Diceros bicornis minor: one gene and its partners. The protein of the gene in region 2 interacts with the protein of the main gene of each other region in a biochemical or structural test. Links are inferred from orthologs where the notes say so. Each region holds a gene or a part of one and is shown on either strand. Other genes may lie near its edges.

Region 1 (7,414 bases), on a different chromosome or scaffold from region 2:
CGAGGAGCGAGCCGATCCCTCCTCTTCCCTCCCCGAAGCGCAGTCCTCTGCACAGACACCAAGGCGATTACATAGTCTCTGCCCGAGTGCGTCTCAGTCCACAATCATTCCACCTAAAAGAGGAGACGGGAGGACAAGAAGAAAGTGCAATCAGACATCCCAGGCGCCTTCCTCAGGGTTCCCGCAGACTCCCCTCCTCCTCCTTCAGGAAGCCCCCATCGCTACCCTCCGCGCGCTCCTGCCCTCTCCCAGGCCGCTTAATCCTTCCTGGTTCCTCCGAGAAAAGCGAAGTTACTTTTCTTTCCCTGCAGGGCTGGAGCGGTCTTCGCGCGGAGAGGTTGCAAGGGCCCCTCCGGGATGAGCGCGCGGCGCGGGACGCAGTGGAACGGGAGGGGGCGTGCCGAGCAGCCCAGAGTGTGCCGGGAGCGCGGGGGAGGGGAGGCGCCGGGCACGTCAATGTCACTGCTTAATATTTATCCCTATATCATTGTGTTGCGCTGCTACGCTCCCGGCCTCCCCGGGCCTGGACGTGCAGGGAGAGGGGCTCCTGGGGTGCCATGGGGGTGTTCAGGCGTTGTGCACAAGCTGCTGTGGAGGGACTGTGGGTCCACCCGTGTGGGGCCGCAGAATGTGGGTGGGGGCTCCCAGGACCCTGTAACCCGATGCTGGGAGTGTGCGAGAAGGGGTGGTCAGACATCTGCTCGGAAATTGCTTCCTTTCTTTCTACTTTCAGTTTTTCTGTGAGAAGACATTTAAAAACGACTTGCACACACAAGTGGTCTTTTGGGGGTAAAGAAGTCTGGGTTGGAAACGGAATTCCTCCGACTCGGAGGACCTCCCTGGTGGAAACTCTTCAGGTCGGGGAGGGCTGGGGCTCCCGCTACTCAGAGGAGGGTGAGTGATGGGGGCCTGGACGGGGGGCGTCGCCCACGGGATCCTAAGGGTGGGAGAAAGGGGTGTTCGCCACACTTTAGCTTGTCGCCTCCTTAAAGAATAACTTCAGGAGGAAGGTAGCATAACCGTGACTCGTCCTGAAATTTTCAACTGATTTCAACCCGAGCAAAACTCAGCCTCCCCTTAAAAAGGATGGGGGCTGGGGGGAGTAAAGGCTGAGCCTCCGGAGGTGAGAGAGAAGAGGCTGAGCCCTTGGGGCCAGGACTCGCGAACCTTTCCCCACTCCCAGGATCGTCTCCGATGTAGGCAGCAGAAGCGGCTGCTCCATTCCTCTTTCGGCTTAAGGCCTGGTCTCGTCTGCAGCTAGTCGCCCCCCGGAGCCCTCCGCACAACAAAGTGCGGGGCCGAGGGGACACTTTCCCTCCCCATTCATTTGCAATCCAGGAACTAGGCAACCTCCAACCCACAGCCGCCGCGGCCTCGGCGGGACATTCGCCACGCCAGCCGCGTGTCCCCAATTCCCAGGGCACCTCGGAATTACCTGCCCCGCAACTGCTGCCCGCTCGCCTTCTGCCAGGAATTAAAGAAACAAATGGCGCGACCCCCACGGCGTGCGGGCGGAGGGGACTGCAGCGAGGACAGAGCCCCTCACACTCACTCCGTTCAAAACTCTCCCTAAAAGGTGAAAGCGAATCCTGGGGGAGCCGAGGAGCGAGCCCCCCAGAGCCTGCACGGGGGTCTGAGCCAGGCCGAGGGCCACACAGGTAGCGGAGAAGCCGCCGCCGGCTGCGCAGCCCGCCCCTCTCGCGTCCCCTCCTCCCGCCCCAGTCCAGCCCGAGGCTCTGCAGCGAAGGCAGCGTTGCGGACGTCCCACCCCCGCGGGGAACTGCGCCCGCTACCCCCGCCGGGCCCCGCACCGCCCGCCCTGGCTCTCCCCCCTCGCTCCCCCGACGGTCGGCTCCGGCGCAGAGAAACGGGAGCAGCAGTGCCTTTTCCCCCCCTCTCCTCCACTTTTTTTTGTTGTTGTTGTTGCTTTCCCACGCTGGCTGAATGTGACTTGACCCCATTTCAAAAAAGTTTGACATAGTGCTTCAACATTTCCGCATTCCTCCGCGACTACAAAGGCTGCAGCCGCCTCCTTCTGCTTTCTGTCTCTGCTCTCTGTCTTCACACTCAATGAAATCCTTCATGTGCCTCTCCCGAAGCCTGCCAAGCACCGCAAGGGTCGCCACCAGCGCAGCGACAAGAGGCCGCACCAGGACCACGACTCCCGCTTATGCGCACACGCAGATGCGCCCACGTGCACACTGACGGGCGCCCTGCGGGGTCCGGAGCTGCTCACCGCGGGGTGTGCATTTCAACTCCGATATTTTAAACTATAAAAGTAAACTGGGAAACTAAAGCAAATATGCATCCTTGGGGGACTCCAAGCGTGGGCACTAGCCGCCAGCGTGCACTCCTCTAAGTGTGCATAACACGCCCGCAGGGGTTGCCAGCAGGAAGCCTGAGTTAACATTTATCTCGTGGTGGGGAAGGTGGAGCCCACGCCCACACCTAGCAAGCTGGAGAGGGAGCTTTCGTGAGGAAATAAATATGGGGCACGGAAACACAGTCTTCCGCATGGAGTCCCCAGAGGCAATGCATTTTAAACCCTAAACGCATATTACTATGTGAGTGTCCGAGTGGAGTTTAAATTGTTTGAAGAAACTGGATAAGGAGTGTTTGTGGGGGTGTTTGTGCGCACGGCTATACAGGAGCAGGCACAGGATCTCAGTGTTGGGGGTGTCCCTAGTGTGGGAAATCCTCCTCTCGCCAGATTAGGAGAGACTCCTTTAGCTCCCCAAAACTGGCCCCCGTAACTACCCTGCGTCGGTTCATAAGGGGTTAACCAAAGCCGATTCCGAGGACATACAACCCGCCCCCACAGTCACCCCCACCCACACTCTCGCTTCCGACCCTGGCCAAGCCCCCAAATCTTCCCCGGGGACCCCCCACCCCGCAGCCCACCCACCCGAGTGCACAGCTTCTCACCTGACGGGCCCGGCCACGTCCGGCCTCCCGAAGGGGCTGCGTGTGTCGGGCCGACCACCGCACGTGTCCACGGCGGCGCGGAGCAGGTAACCCGGCTCGGAGGAAGGAGTTACCAGCACTCTTTCCCGCGAGGGGGTGGGCACAGCGGCGGAGGGCGGAGGGACGGCGGAGGGCGCCGCCCGCGCCGCTCGCTGGGGGCGGACGGGGGCCGCGGGGCTCCTGCCGGGGCTCAGGGCCCGCGCCGGGGAGGCAGCGGGGGCGGGAGCGGGGGACTGGGGCCCAGGAGGCCAACGCTGCCCGAGACCCACCGGCGGCGGTGTTGGGGGCTCGCGGCGCAGTGGCAAGCAAGTGTGCAAATTAAAACCTTCCGGAGAGAGGGGAGGCGGCCGAGACCCGGCTGGGCTCTGAACCTCCCAGCTCCGCAGCTCTCGGCACCGAGTGGGGGGCGAGAAGGAGGGGAGAGGGGAGTTAAATGAAAATTTCCGGCTTTCGCTGCAACTGGAGTGGGGGATCTTGCGACTAAAATAAGAGGCGTGAGAGAGAGAGTGGGATGTGTCGTCGGGAGTCGGTGGAGTTTCCAAACCCAGGGTCGCCCGGAGTTGGGGTTTTGACAGAGTGAGGCGGGGGTATCAGCATTCTGTGATGTGGACGGATGGGAAAAACACAAAACAACCAACCGTAATTATGAGGGGCCGGTGGGGATGGTAAATACCAACACTTTCCAAGAAACTGAAAAATCAGACCAAAAAATAACTCTTCTCAATTAAAAAAAAAAAAATTGGCAAGATGCCTTGCAGAAAAGAAAATACTAATCTGTCCAAGCACTTTTCACTTTCAGCATGAGCTACATTTGTTTTGTTTTCCTTCGCTTCCTTTCGGCCTCACAAAGCCCTATCTTTTCCTTTTGGAAAGAGGATATGATTTGGAAATTGTCAGGCACTCTGTGGTTAACGATCTACTTGAAGGGGCTGGCCGGTTCACAGTTATTAAGTGGTTAGCAACTGCTGAGGATTCACTAAGGTATTTCTGGGGAGCTAAGAAAACTAAAATTCAGTGTAAATAACAGAACTGCAAGATAATAGACACACACACACAAAGAGGAGAGAACGTGATTCGGTGGGTGCTCAGTTTAAATGCATTATTGGAATTCTGAAATTTGAAACCTTGTAAGAATGTATATTTTACCTGCTGAGAAAACCTAAATACAATTATTTCAGGTGAAAATAAGATTTTGGAGGAAAAAAGTCTTCAAGACTTTCTACAATGGAGTAAAACAAAAACTAGCTGTTTTTCTGGAAAGAATTCAGTGTTCTCCAAAATCTGTATCTGTAGAATACTTAAAACCCTTTTAAACATCTTGAAGCAAAGCTAAAATAAGTTTATGTCAATGCTATGTGGAAAAATTAAAACCCAGCAAAATTCTATTTGAGCTGGAAAGATTACCTCTATAAATCTTTTGACTTTTTGAATTAAATCATCTTGCTAATTTCACAATAGATCAAAAATTTGCCTTTATAAAATTGATTCTATACTACAGTATGAAGTAACAGGTTAGGTAAATAAAAATTGTTGCATTTCCATTAGCAAATATTTTGCAAGGCATTATAATAATTTTTTCTCAAATGCTAAAAGTGAATAATTGTGTTTCTTTATGCTTAAGGTAATTCATGACACATATTTTGTGTTCAGGAGCATATCTTCTAAAATAAAATCCAATTTCTGAACAAAATTTGTATTTTTAAAGATATCTATAATCTCATATACTTTATAGACTTAAGAAAGCAAATTGTTAGATTTGTATTTATATAAAATATTTGGATCACTACAAGTCACTAATTAGACTTTAAACCAGAGACAAAAGGGACTTCTGCATTTTGATAATTGCTCACACTTATCAATGCTTTTTGAAACAAGATTTACTTTCTGGTAATTAACACATTTATGTAATTTAGAAATAATTGTCAATAAATAGTCGTAGGAACCAGCAAGTGATTGCAAGAATTTATTTGAGTAAATAATTTGTTTAAAAAATAGTAAGCTGTAAGTATCTTTTAAATTAACAGAAAAATGTCTTTTCTACCATGGGTTGCATTTTTCATTACTGAATTTGACAACAACCATAGGTGGATTAGAAATTCCATGACTTAGGTTACTACACCACTTGGGCAATGTAATAAACAATGAAACTTTATTTAATTATATAGGTTAATACTGAGTGTTAACTCTTTTTATGTCATCTGCTTTGTCTAATATTGTTAATTTATTATTGTTCACTCTCCCTGTTTATGGTTCACATAAATCCCAATTGGCTAAAGCTTCAGACTAGAAAGTTTTACAATGGCTCGTGTAAAATTAGTAAATGCCAGATTGTTTTTGTTTATGGATAACTTCCTCTATGGGTAACAGGTTATCATAACAAAATTTGTGCAAAGTTTATAAACTGTGAACCAAATTCCGACTCCTTTGTTTAGGAGTTTTCTATGAATGAATACATAGCATTCAAGAAAAATGATTTGCACCAGTATTTTCATGCTACATATCAGATGTTCTAAAGTTGCAAATCATCTTACAGGTTTTTAAAAATTAAAACTCATGGATTTATCTCCAAATATGATGTTGTAGCTCATACTGAAAGTTTTCTTAGTGTCACGTAAGAGATGTATTCTGTGTGAATATTTTATATCAAATATCTGTAAATTTTTGTTTTCACTAAAATAAAAATAAAATTTAAAATTCTGGTCTATAATTTATAACTTTGTTTAAGACATGAGTAATTTATTTAAAATTAGTAGTTATATAATGTACATCTAATTCTAAATCATTTCTGATTTATATTGGCTATTTGAATACATTTTCCAGAAACTCAGAAATAAAGTTTTGCTATAATCTACTACACAGTAATTTAATTGGAGGTCCATATAAATGTATACTTTTTGTCTCTAAAGATCTCTTGTTTATTGTTTTGATAAAAAACTTTTCTGGTTTAATAATTTTGAAAACAGTTACCCTCATCTTTACCTTGATTTATATGTGTATGTAAATGTTATCTTTGTTGAGTAATTTACTATGAAAAACTATAATTTTAACAGAAATAGTATAATATAATGCAGTGCATTTTAATGCATTTTTCTCCCCAGGCATTTCCAAGATGTTTTCTTGGGTTTTCCCTTAAAATATAATATTGAAAATTTGCTAAATATCCTAGGAAAAATCGATTGTACTACCAACTTTTTCAGTTGTAAAATTCTGAACTTTAAATGATTTTTTAAAATTCAATCTTCTAAATAAATTACTTCTTGTCATTTTGGAAATGACCTGGGTTTTTCTCTTTTTGTTGTTGTGTTGTGTTGTTGTTTGTGATCTAGTGCATTGCATTTGAGCGGTGAAACTTGGAAAGATTTTGATATTTGCCATGAGGGAAAAAAATATATCAGGTAGTAGCTTCTAAAATTTAAGGAGAAAAAACCAGACATTGTTACCTTTTGGAACATTCCGTTTTCACAGGTTCTACTGCTCTATAATTATTCCTGTGCAACATGTCAGTACTATGTTCATATTTGTATAATTGTCATCATCTTTTCTATTTTTTTTCCTTTTGATAGACACTCCTATCTTCTTTTTCCTTTGTGTGTGTGTGTGTGTGTGTGTGTGTGAATACCTGTATGTTCCTGGCATATTGTTTTGACATGTTTGAAACGTGTTCTTAAGATCTTTTCATCATCTATATTAAAATTCTGAGTAATCAGAAAAATAACTATGGAAATACACTTACAAAAGATGGCAATAATCACATTGAAACACCTACATTTCCTTTCCATTTATAGTGTCCTGTAATTTTCACTGACTTCTAACATTTCTTTTCTGAGATGATACTTGCATCTCAACGGCACACATGGCCTAACAATTGTGTTACTATAGCTGCCTTTGGTTGAACTAAAAGGTGTGTCCATGTTTCAGATAGACCATTCAGATGAAGCAGTGAATGTACAACACAATGGGAGTGAATGATGATCAAGTGGGATCTGGGAGGTAGGAGAAGGACAAAGAAAGGCACCTGGGAGAAACTTCTGTGAATGGCCTGGCAGCAGGGGCGAGTGACGGAAGTACCTGCCTAGGTCCTGAGGCCAAGAGATGTAGCCTCGATGCTCTAGGTATGGCATATCCAGGCAACCTGATTCTTTCAGAATGAATGGCATGCAATGAAATCCGTCTTATTAAATGAAATTGTATAATGTATGAGTCCATATTTATGCAACTATATCGTGTCTCATTGTGGATTTTTCGTGAAAATAATATAGAACGGAATTCTTTACAGAATTCTTTGAATGTCTGGAGGCAAGGACATAATAGCATAGCTCTGTGGATCAAACATTTTACCATAAATTGAAGAGAGGGTCCAATTTTTAAACCCTACTACAAATTTGTTCAAGTTTACTCGTATCTTTGTATCCCTAATACCTAGCAAAGTAGCTGGCATGTATTTTATGTC
Region 2 (7,106 bases):
CCACCCCCAGGGCCAAGACGAAGGATGGAAATGTTTTGGGGCATTTCAAGGGCACAAAGAAGCAGGCTGGAAGGCACGAGGTTGCGGGGCCTCCCCGCAGACAGTCCCCGGGAAAGGGCAGGGATGGGGGGGCGAGTGACAAGTCCTGGAGGCGAGGGATGGGGCGTCGAGCCCTTCCCGGGCGGGGCGGCGGCGCCGCCGGAGACGAGGGTCTTAGCGCGGGCCCGCCCCCGGGAAGGTCCGGCTCCCGAGAGCCGCCGCCGCCGGTTTCCGAGGCCCCGCGAGTCTCCCCAGCAGCGCCCTGCGCCCTCGTCCGGGGCGGGAGTCTGCTCGCCTCGGGCAGGCCGCGGCCCTGCTTGGCCACGGGAGACGCGGGAGGGACAAGGCCTCTTAGGTCATTACCCCCACCTCCCGTCCGATTTCTTTGCCTTGGTTGGAGGTGGTTATTTTCTCAATCTGGGCGCCCACTCCACGACACTCGGCCAGGGGCCTGAGCCAAGAGGCCATGGAATTCCTAGTAGACTTTGGGGTTTCCTATTGCTTCGGGCACCAGGCGATGCGTTTTGAGGGCCGGAGGTCAAGGAGTTAGAATCTTCTTTCGCCCCCAAGTGTGCACCTTTTCCCTTGGGATCCCAGAGGCGTTGGGAGTCAGCCTCCCCCCCCCCCCCACGTTGGGGTTTGGTTTTTAACTCCAGCACACACCTCGCCCACCGCCTTCAGAGGTGGGGGAGGGGTGTCCCGGCCCCGCAGCCTGCCCGACCCAGGACGGGGGCACGCGAAAGAGGGGTAATCTGTGTGTGCCTGAAATTAACTGATCAGAGGCGGAAACGCACGTCCGTGGCTTGGGGCGGTGGGAGGTGCGGCTGCCCCCGTTCCCAGCGTGTGACTGTCCCGGGTGGGCGCCTGGGCCAGAGTTCGCCCCAGCGCGTCCCGCAGCTTTGGGGCGCGGGGGATCGGCACCGCGTAGCCCAGGAGCTACCGCAGCACGTGGACCGCCATGCGTGCCCCCAAAGCGAGAAGCGTGGGGGAAGGGGAGCCCAAGCGCCCCGGAACCCCGCGGCCCACATTCGGAAGCGTTTTCCAGGGCTACTTAAGGGCTTAACAATGGAAAACTCGCGGAGCCGGAGCCAAGTCCTTTCAAGTCGCCGCCAGGTATGCGGCTGCAGGTGACCCCACCTTGCTGCGCCCGCCCGCCCGCCGCCCCGGTCCTCTGGGGAGAGGGCGGGTGTCAGAGGTCAACGTTGGTGGAAGGTCTCCACTGGGGTCTGCAACCCCTTCCCAAAGCCCCTCACTGGGCAGCGCGCAGCCGCGGTGCGTCCCGGAGTCGGCGCCGCGGCGCGCTGGTTCCTGAATGAACGCACTCCCTTCCCCCGCCTTGAATGAAGATTCCCACAGCCAGGGACGGTGGCAAACGCGCCTGCCGCGGAATTCGCCCTCTCCGGGTGGACGATCCGCCCCGGCCGTGGTCGCCCCAGTGGGGGGCCGGGGGGCGAGGAAAGTGGGAAGGTGATTTAAGTTACTTTTGGATTTTCTTTCCAATCAAAGTGGTTTCCCTCCCGACTGTGCCACCAGCCTTTTGTCTCCAAATGGTCACCAAGAAATAAGCGCAGAGCCCAGAATTCGCAGTTCCCGCTTCTTGGTGGGTTTTTAAAGGCAGTGAAAAATTAAAACTGCAACAGAAAACTTTTTAAAAATTGCTTTTCTCTGGGAAAAAAAAATTAAAATCAAAATTTTTATTTTGTCTCCTAGAAGCAATCGCCCTCCAGGGCCCGGGGCTGTTGGCCCCCTCGGGGGCTCCGGGACACGCAGATCGGGGCTCCCCGGGGTGGGGGCTGGGCGGCTGGAGCTCCCTGCCCGGCTCCAAATTCCAGCGCCTCCCCCGCGGGTTCCTGGACGGCTCTTCACGCTCGCCGGCTGGGCTTGCACTTTTGCGCCCGTCCCTGAGCGGGGAAATCAACGAAGTTCCTCGTCGAGATCTGCCCGGTCCGCCTAGTAACAGCGCCGCGCCCCCATTGGCTCATGCTAATTCCAGTTTCCTCTGTCTTTCTCCCGGGTTGGGGGGAAGCTCCCTCCTGGACCTGGAGCCCCTTTTGCCGGAGTGGGCGAGCCTCCTTATGCCCCGCTGCCCCTCGCTGTCGCCCGCCCGCCTCGGGCAGGGCCGGGGCGCACGCGAGGCTCGGGCCCCCACGCCCCCCGGGACGGGAGTCGCCAGGCGAGAGCGCGCGGCCCCATAAATCATCGGGGCGGCCGCCCGGTCGGGATTTTATGAATGAAAAAGCAGTCGGCAGCCCTCGTGCGCGGGCTGATGCTCCGAGGCTCCGCCGTGCCCCCGGGCCGGCGTGAGCGTGGGTGCCCGGGGAGGGGGACACGGCGGGGGGCGCTCCCTGTTCGGGCCACCCACCACTTCGGAGGCGTGAGCCGGGGGTAATTACCCTCCCGGACCCTGAATATTAGTAACCCTAATTCCCGGCGGGGGAGGGGGCGCAGGAACAATCAGCCCCGAAAGGGCGGAGAGTCTTATCTTGCTGCGTGCGCCCTTGTGAAGGGGAGGGGGCTTTTTTATCCGTTTTCTTTGCGTCTTTACTGTTAGGGGATCCGGTGGTTTGATGACACTAAACTGTATTCAGAGGGAAGTAAATGAACAGTTTTCTTAATTTGGGGCAGGTAGTGTAAAAACTGTAAAAAAAAATGTTAAGACTGGGTAAAATGTCTTTTTATTAAAAAAAATGCACCAAGAAGAATCTTTGATTAAAAAAACACTTTATTCTTTTGTATGTCTCTGAAGGTTGCGATAATATTGGGGACCCTCTCATAAAACCACGAACATATATAGATTTTGTTTAAAATTATCAGATCAACACACCCATTTCTTTAACTTAATAATTGTCCTACTTTTTGCAAGCTCCTGCCATCCCCTTCAAGCTCACGAATGCAGCCCCAGGGCAAATTCTAAAGGTGATAAGGTGTCCACACCCCTAACAAAACCAATTAGGACGCTTCCGGTGGTCTTCTCCCAGGCAGAGAGGCGACTAATAGTTCCAGCGATTTAATTTATTCTTTAATTAAAAAGTGAGACAAGACAGAGACCCGTTTTGCAGCCTTCCATTCAGTGGTGTTTTTCCAGCTGTTAAATTGGCGGGACGTGGTGGGGGGGGCATTTGGAGACCCCCGCAAGGATGGACTGCCTAAGGTGGGAAGACAGCCCGGAGATCCCCCCGGCGAGGAGGACAGGATGAAGGAAATGCTGGCCACCATCTTGGGCTGCTGCTGGAATTTTCGGGCATTTATTTTATTTTATTTTTTGCGCTAGCGCATGCTAGGTTGAAATCCCTTTAACGTTTAGGGTTACCCCCTGGGCATTTGCAACGACCCCCCTGTGCGCCGGAATGAAGCCTCCACCGGGAGTGTGGGCTCTGCCCTACGTCCCTGAGCGTTAAATGGTTCCTGAAATTTACACGTGTTAATGAAAATGAAGATGTAAACGCTGAGATTCCTTGGCGGCCTCTTCGCCCGTGGGTGCCCTCGTGGCGTTCTCGGAAATGCGCCCATTCTCCCGGCTCGGATATAGGGTGTCGCCGAGCCCCAGAGTCCCCCCTCCATGCGGTCTCCCCGGCTGCGTGTGGCCTGCCCGCCCTCCTAGTTGTCCCTCTCTGCAGAGCCACCTCCACCCCACCCTCAAAATCCCAGGGGACCCACTCGGGGAGGACAGACCCCCCTGCACCCCTCTTCCCCAGCGGGGAGAAAGGCAGCCATGGGGCGATTTGCATTTCTATGAAAACCGGGCTTCGGGGGCAACTCCGCCGCGGGGCAGGCGCGGCGCCTCCGGGATGGCTTTTGGGCTCTGCCCCTCGCCGCTCCCCAGCGCTCGGCGCCCGCGCCCCCTCCCCCTGCGCCCGCCCCCGCCCCCCCCACCCCCGCTCCCATTCTCTGCCCGGCTTTGATCTCTGCTTAACAACAGTAACGTCACACGGACTACAGGGGAGTTTTGTTGGAAGTTGCAAAGTCCTGGAGCCTCCAGAGGGCTGTCGGCGCAGTAGCAGCGAGCAGCAGCGTCCGCGCGCTCCGGCGAGGGGCAGAAGAGCTCGAGGGAGCGCGGGGCAGCAGGAGCGAGAGCCGAGCCCAGACCGAGCCCCGGGGACCCACCGCCCGCCCCAGGCCACCCAGCAGAGCCCCAGCCATGGCACACCAGCTCCTGTGCTGCGAGGGGGAGACCATCCGCCGGGCGTACCCCGATGCCAACCTCCTCAACGACCGGGTGCTGCGGGCCATGCTCAAGGCGGAGGAGACCTGCGCGCCCTCGGTGTCCTACTTCAAGTGTGTGCAGAAGGAGATCCTGCCGTCCATGCGGAAGATCGTGGCCACATGGATGCTGGAGGTGCGGGGCTTCGGCGGTTCTCTTGAGACTTTCCTGCAACTTGTTGCTCAGACCCACATTTCTTTGCCACTCGTCTCCCTCCCTTCTCTCTCACCCCAACTTTGAAGTTTGCGGGACTGTTGCTAGGAGTCGTATTTTCAAAATACATAGATATTGTGGGTGTTTTTTGCACGAGGAGGGGGTGGGGGAATTAGAAATACTCTTTCCTGGGGGGGGCGGGGAGCGGTCGGGGAGGGGTGCCTTCGGGGAAAGCCCGTGCCAGGGGCACCCCAATTGACTCGAGGGTGCGGGCCAGCAGGCTGGGCGCCCCTTATGGTCCCCTCCTGGGCCGCCACCGCGCACCCCCGCCTGCGCCCGTGCCCGGCTGTGCCTCCTCTCCCGGCCGCGCGGCCACTGAGCCGCCAGCTCCAGGGGGAGGGGGCATAGATTTGATTTTTAAATTAATACCCATGGACACGTATGCAAGGGCCGCTCGTGCCAGTATTATGCGCCATCTTTGTTCTTTTATTGCAAAGCAAAAGTGTTTATTAATAATTGGGGGCAGGGTGGGGGCGGGGAGCGGCCGGCGAGGCGCTGGGGCCGCCGCGAGGGGCCGCGCGGCCGCCGGGAGGGGCGCGGGGACAGAGCGCGGGCAGTTTTGGGGGGACCCCGCTCGGGAAGGGGGGCCCCTTTGTTCAAGCACCGAGTCCCGGGGCGCCCCGCACTGCCAGCCTGGGCCGGAGAGCACGCCGGGCTGCAAGGTCGCGTGGCCCCCAGGAGGCTAGGGACTGACCCTTGTCTGCAGGGGTCTCAGCTTGGGGGACCTGTGTGGAGCGAGCCGGGGGCCCGGGTCACATTTTCAGGCTTTCAGTGGGTGCCTGGGGCGCCCGCAAGTATTTTAAAATAATTTTTGAAAGTGCGGCGTGGTGCCCTTGCGAGAGGGAAGCGGCGCCCGCGCCCAAGGGGAGGGGGGGGGGCCGAGTTTTAATTCCTGGGGCTCTCCCCCGAGCCTGCAACGAGCTCCCGACCCCCGGACTGGGTAAAGGGCCGTCCGAGGGTCATTTTCATGGGTTTTTTATGTACTCAAATAATTTTTTTATATTTTTAAATATTTTTTGAAAAGATGACGTCTGGGGAAATGCGGCGCGGCGGCCTGGGACGCCACCTTTGTGTCTCGCAGGCGCAGCGAGCGCGGCGCCCGGCCCCGCGGTCCGCCCCGCGGCCCCGCACCCCGTTTCGTGCCGACCCCCGGCCAGGCGGGCCCCGGAGCCCCCACGCGGGCCGGGGTCTCGGGGGCTGGCAGCCCGCGCGCGGCGCATGCCGCCCAGCCGTGCCCGCTCCCGCCCCCGCCGTGCCAGCCTCGCGGGGACTTTCCCTTTCAGTTTCAGGGTGGGTGGGTATTGGGGACACCCGGGGGAGGGGGCGCGTCCCCGGAAGCGTCTGCGGCCCCCTGCCGCGACCCTCGGCGCGCTCGGGGCCCCGCGGGCCGGCGCGCGCGGGGTGGGGGGCGCGGGGTCTCCGCGGAGGGGGCCCGGCGCGCGCGCGGCGGCGGTCACGGCCCCGGTGCCCCGGCAGGTCTGCGAGGAGCAGAAGTGCGAGGAGGAGGTCTTCCCGCTGGCCATGAACTACCTGGACCGCTTCCTGTCGCTGGAGCCCGTGAAGAAGAGCCGCCTGCAGCTGCTGGGGGCTACCTGCATGTTCGTGGCCTCCAAGATGAAGGAGACCATCCCCCTGACGGCCGAGAAGCTGTGCATCTACACTGACAACTCCATCCGGCCCGACGAGCTGCTGGTAACCCCGCGACCCCCGCCGCCCACCGACGCCCCAGTAGCCGCGGGACCCCGGGGGTGGGGGAGGTGCAGAGGTGGGGGGCCCCGGCCGGCTGCTGACAGACCCTGGGCCCCGAGGGCGGGCGGCCACACTGCTTGGGGGCCCCCGCCTCGAGGAGCCGGCGCGACCCCCGGCGCCCCCCGTCCCCGCCGCCGTCCCCGCCGCCCCACCTCGCACTTTCGCTCGGACTCCCACCGCGTCTGCGCCCCGGACGCGCCCGAAAAGTGGGCGGCGCGCGCCCTCTAGCGGCGGCAGCGCGTTTACGACCGGGCGGCGTGTCCCGGGTGTGGGAGGTCTTTTTTGTGTCCACTTGGGAACAGGCGGCTTAACCGTGAGCAGGAGCGTTTGCCGGCGGCACCTTCTCTTTTTTGACCTGGGATCGCGTGTTGTCCCCCTCTTCCTGGAGCCCGACATCCCCCATCCCTTCTCTCCAGGCCCCTGTCCCCCCGCCCCCGCGGCTGCCCTGCGCGCCTCTTTATGCTCGTCCACCCCGTTTCCACAGCAAATGGAGCTGCTCCTGGTGAACAAGCTGAAATGGAACCTGGCAGCCATGACCCCGCACGATTTCATCGAGCACTTCCTCTCCAAAATGCCGGTGGCGGAGGACAACCAACAGATCATCCGCAAGCACGCGCAGACCTTCGTCGCCCTCTGCGCCACAGGTAGGGCGGCTGGCCTGCTGCCCCGGCCTCCCTGGGGGTCCCCCGGCGGAGCTTCCTGCCCTCTGACTCAGTTTCCCCATCTGATGCTCCCCCGGCCCCGCCTGCCCTGGGAAGCGCTCCTCCGTCTCTGTTCTGTTGAGCAGAGGGCTTGGGCGGTTTGTGCTGGATGGAGGGGTGCTGCCCCCCGGGGGCGGGCGGCTACCATGCAGTGCCTTCGCGATGGCGGTGGTAGGCCGGCCTGCCCGGGTCCAGCTGCCGGG
Region 3 (7,382 bases), on a different chromosome or scaffold from region 2:
CGGGCCAGAGGCCTGTTTCCTTGGTCCATTCACGGTGAGGACCCCATCAGATGACAGAGAGGAAGTAATGGCGAGAGGGTCCACATCAGCTGGGATCCGGTATTTCCTGTGGAACTCTCGGGAGATGAAACCGTGTTCATCCTAATCCAAGAGAACGAGGAAAGAGGCAGAGAGATAAGAACAGGAAATAGCACCACTTGCCTAGAACCAACACATCCTCCTTCCCCTTAGGTGTCACCAAAGGTCATGGCAACATGAGAGAAAGCTAAATAGCTGTTCTGTTTGGGGCTAAGATGAAGTTGCCTAGGTGGTCACTCCTACCGATGAGAGTCTGGGAAGTCTGAAACAGCCAAAACTTCACAGCTGTCCAAATCCTGAGGCATGGAAATGTTGAGGGGTATTTTCTAAAGGTTCAGATAAATGTTTGTTGGGTCTACAGGATTTGGAATATCATCTGGCATTGATGATCTGAGTCCCTGAGGAAATTGTTCTGACTCTCCAGGAATGTCTTAGAATGTTCCAGACCAAGAGGACTGCTGCTAGAAAAAGTTAAAAAATAAGACTCCATCCAGGGAGACTATGACCCAAACTTGAATCATTTGAGCGAACAAACAGCCTGAGGACCTCAAACTGTACTGTTTGATGCACAAGATTCGAGTTACCACTGATTGGTAAGAAGCAAACTCATTAAAAAACGCTCTCAGAAAATAATGAGAAGCTGTGCCATTCTTCAGAATTCTGCTGAAGGATAGTTGACTCCTACCCTTACACCTGCTGAATCTCAAGCATTTATCCAGACAGGCTCTCAGTTAACTGATTTCCACATGGGCTCTGGTGTATTAGGAGCTGAGTACGGTTCTGAAACTTAGGCAAACCAAGTAGTTCAGCATTAAGAGGGGCTAAGGAGAAGAGGATTCCTGAACATCTAAAAGAAAAGTCCCAAATTCAAGGGCCTTCAGGGTGCATGCAATTAACATAATTATGTAAAGCAACCAGGTGTCCGACAAGCACTATGCCTAAATCCATGGTCCTCAACCTAGACTGTACATTAGAATTACCTAGAGAGATTTTTAAAATGCTGATGCCTGGGTCCTACCCCTAAAAACTCTGATTTAATTGGTCTGGAATATGCTTGAGCATTGGGATTTTTTTTTAAATTCCCCTGGTGATTCTGAAGTGGCCAAGCTGAGAACCACTGGCTTAAATGGGAAGTTAACATCCCATCTACCCTATCTAAAGCAATCAAATCAAAACAACAAAGATCACTTCTCTGGCCAAAACAACAACAACAGGTCTATCCCGGTTCCAGACCCTATGGCTTAGGATGGGCATGTTGCCGGCCTCAGAGGCTGATGGCAGTGTCTGCTATACAGTATGCACTGAATGAATGAGCAGAAGAGAAAACAATCTACACACCTGGCGCTCTTCATGTTTCCCGTGCACCTCAATCGTATCTCCCAGCACCTTGACCTTGAGTTCCTCTGGGGAGAAGTGCTTCACATCCAGGTTGACAGAGAATCTGTCCTTCTCCAGACGCATCTACAAATAGCAAGGTGGAGAGGAGGGAGTAGGAGAAAAGATGGAAGGAATGTAGATTACACTAGTGCAGTCTCATCGTTCTGCAGACTTGCTTTCTGTCCAGGAGGTTTATCCTCCTCTTTTCGGCTAAAAATCCCTTTTTGAATAAACACAGCTCTCTGGTTCAAGGGAGCCACCACAGTGGTACCCAAGGCCCAAACTTTGTTTACAGGGACAGGGAAGATGACAGGCCACCCAGGGGACCAATCACAAGGATGGGTCTGGGCATGGCTTCTGCTGCCTCTCCCACCCCAATGCCCAGCCTTGTCATTTGTCTGTAAGACAAAGGCCCCTTCTTCTTGCTCAGGTTTCTGCCAAGTTTCCCACCCAGTCAATCTGGAATGTTCTGCTGGCCCTGATTTGTCCTTCCAAAGCCCTTGCCTACTTAGCTCCTGTTTACTCACACTTGAATATTTTTAAACTAGAGTGTTATCTATGATAGCTTCTGTCAACCTTATCTGTTCACCCCATTCTCCCACCCTCTTAGGACAAGTGGGGGTCCCAAGACTGGACCTACATTCTTTCCTCCTTAGGCTTGGACCCAGGCCAGTGCCCTGTCAGCCCTGAGAAACCCGGAAAATCACAGAAGAGGGAATAGAAAGGATGAAAATAGTGGTTGCTGTCTCCAGCTCCACGCAGTGGGGATGAAAAGCTCAGGATGAGCTAAGACTGTCTCCTGGCTCTGAAACTTCAGATAATAAAATTCATCAGGAGTATGAGGTATCAGAAGAGGTGAGCAAATGAGTCTGAAGGCAGGTCTTTCCCTGAGATCATTATGAACCAAACCAGAAAGGAGTATCGCACTTAGGAGATGGAGGATGATCTTCATCGCGCATGGGAAAAACGCAATAAGTAGGATACAGAGGAACATCAAATACAAACAGGTGACTGGGGGAGGGAGGCGTTAGTAACTTTATCTTTCTTCACTGCTGGACGCACAAGTGCCTAAGACCCTTAGACATAGCCAGATTTAGGCAGGGAGGAAAAGGAGAGCAGATGGAGATGTTTCCAGGAGGTTCCAGGAAGAACTCTCCTGTCCTGGCAGAGGGGAGACTTACCTCTGAGAGCCCAGTGTCAATCCAGCTGGGTGCCCGCAGGAACGAGGGCAGCCGAAGGTAGAAGGGACTCAAGGAAGTAGAAGTGGGGAAGAGATCAGACTCCAACAGGTGCTCTCCGAAGAACTGGTCAAAGAGGCGGCTGGGAGAGGGGAAAGGAAAGAAGGGGCGGCGGATCCACGGGTGGTGAATGGCGACGTCCATGGTGGCTGGGTGAATGTGGGGGGTCAGCTGGCTGGTCAGCTCCTTCAGCTGCAGCTACAGCCAGCCCCTTTATATACGCAGTCTTGTGAAGCTTCTGGAATGGTGATGTCAGGGGTTTTATTATCCCAGCTCACCGCCCGTTCATGGAGACTTGTGATTCGGGATTTGGCAGTGTGACACATACCCAGTACTCACTGAGCTAAGAAAAGAGAAATACAAACACGTCTGAGCTGGCCAGTGACTTGTCCTGGTCTTGTTTCACTAGCCTTCTGTCCACACCCAATGGCCCCTTGCCACCCCCCTTCTCTGGAGTTGGGACAAAGTCAGGAATCCCAAACAGGCAGCAGTGTGCCCCTCCTCCTCCTCTCCAGCCTAGCATGCCAGAGGAACCCAGCCAGCGACTATCTTGGGCCTGGGCAGGGACTGGAATCTTCCTAGGCTGGGCCCCAGGGACATTAACTCTTTGTGGGTTCCTAGAGGAGAGCAGTGATCACCAACATGTCAGTGCCATGCATCTGTGTAGTACCCTAGGTTGACCTGGGTTCAGGAGAGGACCCTGACATTAATCTGGGCAGGAAGACCCCTCATCCTACACCCCCAAAAAGGATAGAAAGTATTCTTGTATCTTTCACCTTACATGGCTCGCAGAACATTAAATCCATGAGAGCTTTATGAAGTAGGATGCAGAGTGCCTGCCACTGAAGAGGAGAAAAGGTGGTGTGGAAAATGTGCAAACTGTGAGGGTCTCAGCTAAGCCTCTCCAGGGCCTCTGGCACCAGCCTCCCCTCTGCAGCTCTCTCCCCAGCCAGGACCCCCAGCTGTCCTCTCAGGCCCCCTGCAACAGCTGAAGGGTGTGCGGGGGGGAGGGAACGGGGGTCCAGGCGCTGCTGGTCACATTCGTCGCTGGCACTCAGGGCCCGGGCTCCCCGCCCCTCCTCCCGAGGCTCGGCACTATTTTGGGTGGTGTAGACCCCGCCCCCACCTCCAAGAGAGCCCTGTCTCTCCAGGCAGCTGGAGGGGTCCCGCTGCGTCGCTGGGGCTGCACCTCGGACCAGGGCCGCCGACGCGTCTGCAGCCATGTCGGGCCGCTCGGTGCCACATGCCCACCCGGCCACCGCTGAGTACGAATTTGCCAACCCGAGCCGCCTGGGTGAGCAGCGCTTCGGAGAAGGTATGGCACAGACGCCACCCCCTTGCCTCCCACCCCCACCTCCTGAAATTCTGGGCTGACCTCCCAACGGTACTGGCCTCCACCCCACTCTGGGCTTAACTGAACTACTGGGGCAAGCCATCTCCCGCACCAGACTCCCCCTTGCCCCCCTCCAAGCAGAGCTCTTTCCCCTTCCTACTGACCTCAGTGCAGACTTGGAGCCCACAATGCTTTGAGACCTGCCCCCTGCCGCCCCTAGCGTGCCTTGTTCCCCTTCGGTCCACCCAGTCCCGGTTTGGTTTGCTCTCCTCCACCCCCACCTCGGTTCCTTTCTCAATCCCCTCTCCCCAGCTGCCTCCTAGCCGCTGTGTCCCCCTGCCTCCCCTTCCCTGCTTCTCCTGACTCCCCTCCTGCTCTCCCCAGTCCTCACCTCCTGATCTCCTCTCATTTCACCCCTGTTCCCCCTTCACGCTCCCTTATCCTGCCTCTTGCCTTCTCTCTCTCTGCCCCTCAGGCCTCCTGCCAGAAGAAATCCTGACCCCCACCCTCTACCATGGCTACTATGTCCGGCCTCGGGCTGCCCAAGCTGGGGAGGGCAGCAGGGCAGGGGCTTCCGAGCTCAGGCTCAGTGAGGGCAAGTTCCAGGCATTTCTGGATGTGAGCCACTTTACCCCAGATGAGGTGACTGTGAGGACTGTGGACAACCTGCTGGAGGTGTCTGCCCGGCACCCCCAGCGCCTGGACCGCCACGGCTTCGTGTCGCGAGAGTTCTGCCGCACCTACGTCCTGCCTGCTGATGTCGACCCCTGGCGGGTCCGCGCTGCTCTCTCCCATGATGGCATCCTTAACCTGGAGGCGCCTCGGGGTGGCCGACATTTGGACACAGAGGTCAATGAGGTCTACATCTCCCTGCTCCCTGCGCCTCCTGATCCGGAGGAAGAGGAGGAGGCAGCCAGAGTTGAGCCCTGAGTGCCACAGACCTAGCACCCTGCGAATTCCTTTCTATCTACTGCCGTGATACAAGCAGCTGCCCACCACCCCAGAGGTAGCAGCATCCTTGGGGAAAGGGAAAAGTGCATGGTCCACAATGTATGGTTTGGTCCCTTGGGACATGTGGTAGCCTTTGGTTTAGTTCTGGGTGGAGCTTAATAAACCCAAATCTCAGGGCCTTGTTTGTGCTGCTCCCTATTCTGTGGCCTGGAGGATGGGATGGGCAGGGGGAGAGGAGGTCAATAGCCAGCTAGACAAAATCTCCTCAGTTAGATGTGCCCAACGTCACAGCACCCTGAGCTCACACTTGCATGCTGAGATCACACCCGGAAGCTGACACTGGCTCCCCATCAAATTCCTAGCCATAATTTTCTCACAATGCAACAAAAGAGAGAGTGATCCTGGGAGGGAAAAGGGATATGCCATCCAAACAGCCCAGAGGGCACTGTCTGAGCTGGTGATTAGAGACACAAAAACAAGGGTCTCCAGACTGTCTGGCCTGTTTTGGATAGGGGTTGGGAAAATAGGTTTTGGCTGGAGAGAGTTGCCTAAAGCCCTGTTTTCCCATATTAAGGTCTGTCCACTGAAAATGGTCTCTGATTCTGAGGGACTAAGTGTGCATACACAGGGGCACACACACAGAAACCTCTGCCATTGTCACGGAACCCCAAAGTCTCCCCACCCTCTGCACAGGGGAGGCCCATGAAAAGAAAGCATTTGTTTCTAATCTTGGAACAACCCAAAGAGGAATCACTGCATCACCCCACCCAATCTGAGACTAAATGCAGGGGATCTAAGGCTATTGGTGTGGTGGTGATGGCCGGGGAACCTTCCTTTGGAAGTAGTCTTAATACTAGGGGTATGATGTGTTCAGGAAAGTCTAGTGGTCTGAGCCCTCAATTATTCTCTGTAATCAAGAGAGCATGTGTGTATATGATTTGAGGAGTGTCCAGAAGACCTCCCTGTCCCAAAATATATCTTTTACCAGGCTGTGGTGGATACCTGAAATTCTTCCATTAAAGTGGTTGATCCTTAACTTTGTTGGGTTGCAGACCCATTTGAAAATCTGACAAAAGCTATGGATTCTCTTACCAGAAAAATGCACATGCTCCCAAATTTGGTATACAATTTAGATAGGTTCATACAGCTCTTGAGATCCATTCATATGCCCCTCTTAGAGATCTGTGGACCCCCAGGATAAGAACCCTCACTTGAAGAATTCAATTTTTGGTTAAAGGATTGCCATCAATTAAAAATGATAGCATGCCTCAGAGAAGTAACTATTGATATATTCATTTGTTCATTCATTCATTCAACAAATATTTATCAAACCCCAAGTAATATACTATGGGGGATGCACATTGTAAATATAAATTATTAAAATTATGGTCTTTTATTGTCTACTCTCATGAATCTTAATACCTAGTTGAGAATAAAAAGAGTAAAGAAAGGATCCTACTCAGACTTCAACCCGAACAGCATCACATTGATCTGTTTTGTAACTGGAATTTTCACATGAGCTTTATTTAAAAGAAAAGATTCCCAGGGGCTGGCCTGGCAGCATAGCGGTTAAGTTCACGTGCTCCGTTTTGGCGACCCAGGGTTCTCAGGTTCGGAACCCTGGGCGCGAACCTACGCACAGCTTATCAAGCCCTGCTGTGGCAGTGTCCCACATATAAAGTGGAGGAAGAGTGGGCCCGGATGTTAGCCCAGGGCCAATCTTCCTCAGCAAAAAAGAGGAGGATTGGCAACAGATGGTAGGGGTAATCTTCCTCAAAAAAAAAAAAGAAAAGGAAAGAAAAGTTTCCTTAGCTAGAAAAAAAATGGAGGCCTCTGATTTAGTCCAAATCCCCATCCCATTTAAATTCTTTTAAGATTATTAGTCAACTTCTTTTGGGACATTTTGAGTGACAGAGAACTGAGAACTTCATAAAGTAGCCCAATTGATTTTCTTTTTGGACATATCTGTTACAAATTCTTCCTTCTATTAAACCAAAATCTGCATTTCAGTAACTTCTGCCCATTGGTTCTGGTTATGTTCAGAAAATAAAAGCAATCCTTCTTTCACTTAAGAGTCCTTCAGATATTTAAAGATAACCATTCTGTCCTCCTAAGGCTTCCCTTTCCCAACTAAACATGCCTAGTCCTTTTAACCATATCTTATAGGACTTTCCATCCTACTTATCACCCAGATAACTTTCTCTTGAACACACTGCCTTTTGACAACATAACTTGAAACTCAACATGTAGACATAAAATTATTATTTGAGTCGTGGACTGACTGGTACAGACTTCAGTGGAATAATCAATACCCTTGTTTATCACTCTAGACTTCTATTAATATTGCTTTAGGTGTATCAGGTTTTCTGGCTGCCAGAACACACTATTGGTTCCTTTGGAGTTTC

What was found.
Region 1: the proteins of CCND1 (region 2) and CDK6 form a complex in vitro, tested with the Homo sapiens proteins (3 studies listed by BioGRID and IntAct, with this or other methods). The link is inferred for Diceros bicornis minor from reciprocal best matches to the Homo sapiens genes CCND1 and CDK6.
Region 3: of the proteins of CCND1 (region 2) and CRYAB, one has a biochemical effect on the other in vitro, tested with the Homo sapiens proteins (2 studies listed by BioGRID, with this or other methods). The link is inferred for Diceros bicornis minor from reciprocal best matches to the Homo sapiens genes CCND1 and CRYAB.

The regions. Positions count from the first base shown.
Region 1 is NC_080742.1:30,259,416-30,266,829, forward strand, and holds the start of CDK6 (cyclin-dependent kinase 6), read right to left. Parts: upstream 3,023-7,414; 5' UTR 2,926-3,022; intron 1,603-2,925; exon of another isoform or gene 1,436-1,602; intron 363-1,435; exon of another isoform or gene 226-362; intron 114-225; 5' UTR 1-113. UniProt on the Homo sapiens protein: Serine/threonine-protein kinase involved in the control of the cell cycle and differentiation; promotes G1/S transition. Phosphorylates pRB/RB1 and NPM1.
Region 2 is NC_080770.1:4,497,132-4,504,237, reverse strand, and holds the start of CCND1 (G1/S-specific cyclin-D1), read left to right. Parts: upstream 1-4,014; 5' UTR 4,015-4,177; coding exon 4,178-4,375; intron 4,376-5,929; coding exon 5,930-6,145; intron 6,146-6,686; coding exon 6,687-6,846; intron 6,847-7,106. UniProt on the Homo sapiens protein: Regulatory component of the cyclin D1-CDK4 (DC) complex that phosphorylates and inhibits members of the retinoblastoma (RB) protein family including RB1 and regulates the cell-cycle during G(1)/S transition.
Region 3 is NC_080746.1:24,341,848-24,349,229, reverse strand, and holds the start of CRYAB (alpha-crystallin B chain), read right to left. Parts: upstream 3,099-7,382; 5' UTR 2,838-3,098; coding exon 2,637-2,837; intron 1,540-2,636; coding exon 1,417-1,539; intron 142-1,416; coding exon 1-141. Other genes in the region: HSPB2 (heat shock protein beta-2), read left to right, coding at 3,915-4,008, 4,502-4,956. UniProt on the Homo sapiens protein: May contribute to the transparency and refractive index of the lens. Has chaperone-like activity, preventing aggregation of various proteins under a wide range of stress conditions.